Linked DNA regions of Saccharomyces cerevisiae S288C. Changing the gene in region 2 together with the main gene of any one other region gives a genetic interaction. Each region holds a gene or a part of one and is shown on either strand. Other genes may lie near its edges.

Region 1 (3,582 bases), on a different chromosome or scaffold from region 2:
CTTCAACAGGAAACGTGACGGTACTCATAAAGCTAGATTTGTTGCAAGAGGTGATATTCAGCATCCTGACACTTACGACTCAGGCATGCAATCCAATACCGTACATCACTATGCATTAATGACATCCCTGTCACTTGCATTAGACAATAACTACTATATTACACAATTAGACATATCTTCGGCATATTTGTATGCAGACATCAAAGAAGAATTATACATAAGACCTCCACCACATTTAGGAATGAATGATAAGTTGATACGTTTGAAGAAATCACTTTATGGATTGAAACAAAGTGGAGCGAACTGGTACGAAACTATCAAATCATACCTGATAAAACAGTGTGGTATGGAAGAAGTTCGTGGATGGTCATGCGTATTTAAGAATAGTCAAGTAACAATTTGCTTATTCGTTGATGATATGATATTGTTCAGCAAAGACTTAAATGCAAATAAGAAAATCATAACAACACTCAAGAAACAATACGATACAAAGATAATAAATCTGGGTGAAGGTGATAACGAAATTCAGTACGACATACTTGGATTAGAGATCAAATATCAAAGAAGCAAGTACATGAAATTAGGTATGGAAAAATCCTTGACAGAAAAATTACCCAAACTAAACGTACCTTTGAACCCAAAAGGAAAGAAACTTAGAGCTCCAGGTCAACCAGGTCATTATATAGACCAGGATGAACTAGAAATAGATGAAGATGAATACAAAGAGAAAGTGCATGAAATGCAAAAGTTGATTGGTCTAGCTTCATATGTTGGATATAAATTTAGATTTGACTTACTATACTACATCAACACACTTGCTCAACATATACTATTCCCCTCTAGGCAAGTTTTAGACATGACATATGAGTTAATACAATTCATGTGGGACACTAGAGATAAACAATTAATATGGCACAAAAACAAACCTACCAAGCCAGATAATAAACTAGTCGCAATAAGCGATGCTTCATATGGTAACCAACCATATTACAAGTCACAAATTGGTAACATTTTCCTACTCAACGGAAAAGTGATTGGAGGAAAGTCGACAAAGGCTTCGTTAACATGCACTTCAACTACAGAAGCAGAAATACACGCAGTCAGTGAAGCTATTCCGCTATTGAATAACCTCAGTCACCTTGTGCAAGAACTTAACAAGAAACCAATTATTAAAGGCTCACTTACTGATAGTAGATCAACGATCAGTATAATTAAGTCTACAAATGAAGAGAAATTTAGAAACAGATTTTTTGGCACAAAGGCAATGAGACTTAGAGATGAAGTATCAGGTAATAATTTATACGTATACTACATCGAGACCAAGAAGAACATTGCTGATGTGATGACAAAACCTCTTCCGATAAAAACATTTAAACTATTAACAAACAAATGGATTCATTAGATCTATTACATTATGGGTGGTATGTTGGAATAAAAATCAACTATCATCTACTAACTAGTATTTACGTTACTAGTATATTATCATATACGGTGTTAGAAGATGACGCAAATGATGAGAAATAGTCATCTAAATTAGTGGAAGCTGAAACGCAAGGATTGATAATGTAATAGGATCAATGAATATTAACATATAAAACGATGATAATAATATTTATAGAATTGTGTAGAATTGCAGATTCCCTTTTATGGATTCCTAAATCCTCGAGGAGAACTTCTAGTATATTCTGTATACCTAATATTATAGCCTTTATCAACAATGGAATCCCAACAATTATCTAATTACCCACATATATCTCAATAACAAAACGAACAACATGAGATAAAACACGGCCTTCCCTAGCTGAACTACCCAAACGTATAAATGCTTGAACAATTAGTTTAGATCCGAGATTCCGCGCTTCCACCACTTAGTATGATTCATATTTTATATAATATATAAGATAAGTGACATTCCGTGAATTAATCTGATAAACTGTTTTGACAACTGGTTACTTCCCTAAGACTGTTTATATTAGGATTGTCAAGACACTGCGGTATTACTCGAGCCCGTAATACAACAATACACAGTTGTTACGGTCCTATAGTGTAGTGGTTATCACTTTCGGTTTTGATCCGGACAACCCCGGTTCGAATCCGGGTAGGACCTTTTTTAACTGTGGCTTCTCTGTTGAACCATCAGTTACTTTTTTTTTTTTTCAGAGAATGTGTGCCGGGTCATGAGATGCCAAACTAAGAGGTCATTAAAATATATTTCAAAGACTAAATGTGTTCTTTTCAGGTTCCATCTGCATTTTCTTTTAACTACACCTCGTACTGTTATAAACGCCACCAAGCAAGATATTACACAGCAGCAAAACTTTTTCAGGAAATGCCTGTTATTGAAATTAACGATCAAGAGCAATTTACTTACCTAACTACCACTGCGGCCGGCGACAAGTTAATCGTGCTTTATTTCCATACCAGTTGGGCAGAACCATGCAAAGCATTAAAGCAGGTTTTTGAGGCCATTAGTAATGAGCCTTCCAATTCCAACGTCTCTTTCTTATCCATTGATGCGGACGAAAACTCGGAAATTTCAGAACTTTTTGAAATCTCAGCTGTTCCATATTTTATCATAATTCACAAAGGGACAATCTTAAAAGAATTATCCGGCGCGGATCCAAAGGAGTATGTGTCTTTATTAGAAGACTGCAAGAACTCAGTCAATTCCGGATCATCACAAACTCATACTATGGAAAATGCAAACGTAAATGAGGGGAGTCATAATGATGAAGACGATGACGACGAAGAAGAGGAAGAAGAAACTGAGGAGCAAATAAACGCTAGATTGACTAAATTGGTCAATGCCGCGCCGGTAATGTTATTTATGAAGGGGAGCCCCTCTGAACCTAAATGCGGGTTTTCGAGACAACTTGTGGGTATCTTGAGAGAACATCAAGTAAGATTTGGCTTCTTTGATATATTAAGAGACGAATCTGTTAGACAAAACTTGAAAAAGTTTTCTGAATGGCCAACTTTCCCTCAACTTTATATAAATGGGGAGTTTCAAGGCGGTTTAGACATTATCAAGGAATCCTTGGAGGAAGACCCTGATTTTTTGCAGCATGCTCTCCAATCTTAAATAAATAGATGTATTTAGTGTAAATTGAAACAGAAAAGTCTCCATTTCCAACTAATGGTATGCAAGCATTTTTATATGTGTGACATAATGAATGGCTTCTGGTTAAGTTTGGCTTTTTGAACAACCATTGCCCGGAGAAAATAAACGCGTGAGCAGTAGCTGATACGCGTCTCACTTTTTCATAAATTCATGTATAGGTCATCGCCATATAGAGAAAATATTTGAAATTACATCTGTTGAAACTAATAAGAGCTTTTCCTTGGAGCCTTCTTTGCTAACAGATAAGATTTTTTAATTGGAGCAACTAGTTAATTTTGACAAAGCCAATTTGAACTCCAAAATGGCCCCAGCTACCCCTAAAACTTCTAAGACTGCACACTTCGAAAATGGCTCCACATCTTCTCAAAAGAAAATGAAGCAATCGAGTTTGTTATCTTTTTTCTCAAAACAGGTACCTTCTGGCACACCGTCAAAGAAGGTCCAGAAGCCTACTCCAGCGA
Region 2 (3,049 bases):
GAAAGCGCGATAACCACAAATCGTGATGACCTTGAGAACAGTCAAACTTACGACTTATCAATAATTTCGAAGTATCTGCTCATAGCCTCATATATTTGTTCATATCTGGAACCTAGATACGATGCGAGTATTTTCTCTAGGAAAACACGTATCATACAAGGTAGAGCTGCTTATGGACGAAGAAAGAAGAAAGAAGTTAACCCTAGATATTTACAGCCTTCTTTATTTGCTATTGAAAGACTTTTGGCTATTTTCCAAGCTATATTCCCTATTCAAGGTAAGGCGGAGAGTGGTTCCCTATCTGCACTTCGTGAGGAATCCTTAATGAAAGCGAATATCGAGGTTTTTCAAAATTTATCCGAATTGCATACATTGAAATTAATAGCTACAACCATGAACAAGAATATCGACTATTTGAGTCCTAAAGTCAGGTGGAAAGTAAACGTTCCCTGGGAAATTATTAAAGAAATATCAGAATCTGTTCATTTCAATATCAGCGATTACTTCAGCGATATTCACGAATGATTATCTCCCTGGAAGGTATCCAGAGGGCAGGATACGTTCGAAACAACAACTACGTTATATAAATATTTATACATAGTGGGATAGAATGAACAATTATCAAGTAAACCTTGTATTTTTTGTTCCCACGCTCTACGCTCTGTTTCTTGGATATGGTAATCAAAGATTAATACGTATAACCGTTATTAATTCAGTCCACTAGAAACTATTAAAAGCGCCCTACTGTATGGAAAAACAATGAATGAGGAGACTGAACGGCGCAAAATTGTTAGTTTAGTTGCTCTTTTTGGCGGCCGGCGATAATGTTCTTCACTTGGTATTCTTACCAGGATTGAGCCTGATTTTGTTTTGTCTTATTCTTTGCGATGTCTTCATTTTCTACAAAACCTCTAATTTCTCCGGCAATGGCCCTTGAAACGTCTTCAAAGACTTCAAATGTCACGGTGGGGGTTCTTTTATCTTTAACTAATCGATGAAGAGTTATTAGAATGGTTCTAAACTTATTTTTCAATTTTATTAACACCCTCTCAAATTCCATCACACTTTCATCATCGTTATTCATTTTCAAACCTTTCATTAAAGTACGAATGGTATGTATATTCTTTTCTAGTGTTGGACTATGCAATCCATACGATTCTATAACATCACACAAACCTTCCATTTGTCCCAGGAGCGTAAATCTTTGGAATCCCACTTGTAAACCATACTGTTTACCTTCTAGAAAGCTCTGCTTTATATTCTCATTCTGGCCCTCCAGAAAACCTTCTTGGTAATACTGTTCTTCTAGGTTTAGTAAATTATCAAAATCCATTTTTATTTGTCCAGTGATCTTTACTTTCCATTTACTCTTCAAATATGATAAGTGATTTGATTTAAACAAGTTTTTTTTCATTTTTCTTATAAAACGATTTCTCACCATGATTGAGATTTTTATATTAGTAAGATTATACTGAAAAGGCAAATGGCTACATAGCCAACAAAGAATAAAACAATAAAACAATAAAAAAAGACTTTTTTCTTCGTAAGCATCCTATTGAGAATATTAATCATTTACTTAAGTAGCTACAATACAAAATAGAGTAAAAAACTATTTCTCTTCACTTTCATTCACAATTGTTTGCCAGATCTAACTTCCTTTCCGGTTTTCTTAATCTTTTCTAAAATAAAATCGTAAGGAAGTGTAGTATATACATCTACTAATTGCTTTTCAAGGGATATATCTATTTTGGAAACGTCTGGTTCTAATTTCGTCAAAACTTTATTGACTGCACCAGAACATCCCGAGCAGGTCATGACGACATTGAATTGATAATGTTTTATCTCTGCCATCTTTTGCGCTAGTTCTCTCTTGTGTCGTTGGAAATCTCATCCTGCAATGTTTTAAGATGATTCAAGTCATTTAAGAAGCTCAAAAATGCACTACAAGATGTGCCAACTTTGCACCCCCAAAAAAAACTACCGCATCACGTGAAATTTATTAGAAAACTGAAAAAAAGACAACTTACGCATACGTAATACAAGATGTACATCTATTGCAATGATCATGTAACCTATCCTACGATTAATTATTTTTTAATCATCTAGAGCAGTGCCTCTAATTTCGTAAATATCATCAATGGCATTCCTTCGCAGGGGAGTGTCGGCAAACAATAACTCTATCCATTGGATTAGTTCGTCTGTCGCAAAAAGATAAAAATCCCCATTGTAAAACATCTCCATAATCTCCTTTAAATGTAATGGTAGAAACTTGCCCATAGTGGCGAATTTTTCTCTCATCTTTTTGTAACTTGGTTCCTTCGCTAATAATTGTATATCGGTGTTGTTCACTAATAAAGATACGAGCTCACCCAAATTTTCGGAATTGACCTCAGAGATAATCTGCCATTTTAATATTTCCTTTGTCACGCAATCGTTATATAAAAAGTTTAAGAAAGACAACAAGTAACGGGAACCTTCTTCACCTCTTATTTTCTGCAGTGGACGAACAATTTCCTTCAAGATATAAGGTAGCAGTTTCTCAATGGTGGCGTCCCACGATGGATTTCTCTCGTTCTCACGAAATTCGGTCAATTGATGCCTGATTAGTTGACAGACAATACGATATTTCATGTTCAGTTTAGTTTCCAGCAGGTTCCTTGTTAATTCTTTTATTCTATACAGCTTTTCATCTCGTTCTATTAGATATCTCATATCCACATATAATTGGCACCAATTGTGAGAAAAATTAGCTGTGCACATGGCCATATACGATGTCTGCAAAAGGTTGTATTTGTACGCAAAGTATTGCTCATCAACATGGCTATCTGCAAAGCTACTCTTGAAATTCTGTGAAATTGCCAAGAACAATTTTGGTAACTGTGTAACTTCAATGTGGTCTTTATCAAGTGATCCTACATCATGAGCTTTTAAATGTTCCTTTCCATTTTCTAGGGAAGCATCATCTATATTTTCGTCAATTGCCCAGGCTTCATCCCAGGCATTTTCTTCTTCTTCTGGTTCTTTTTCCTTCTCTTGATTTGTTTTTTCT

Evidence for each region.
Region 1: mutations in LTO1 (region 2) and GRX3 together harm fitness more than expected from each alone (negative genetic interaction), as found in Saccharomyces cerevisiae (one large-scale study listed by BioGRID).

Annotation. Positions count from the first base shown.
Region 1 is NC_001136.10:643,678-647,259, reverse strand, and holds GRX3 (monothiol glutaredoxin GRX3), read left to right. Parts: upstream 1-2,329; coding exon 2,330-3,082; downstream 3,083-3,582. Other genes in the region: mismatch repair ATPase MSH6, read left to right, coding at 3,423-3,582.
Region 2 is NC_001146.8:156,015-159,063, forward strand, and holds LTO1 (ribosome biosynthesis protein LTO1), read right to left. Parts: upstream 1,334-3,049; coding exon 845-1,333; downstream 1-844. Other genes in the region: ORC5 (origin recognition complex subunit 5), read left to right, coding at 1-525; copper metallochaperone ATX1, read right to left, coding at 1,630-1,851; DSL1 (Dsl1p), read right to left, coding at 2,095-3,049. UniProt on the Saccharomyces cerevisiae protein: Essential for life in oxygen, but nonessential under anaerobic conditions. Required for biogenesis of the large ribosomal subunit and initiation of translation in oxygen.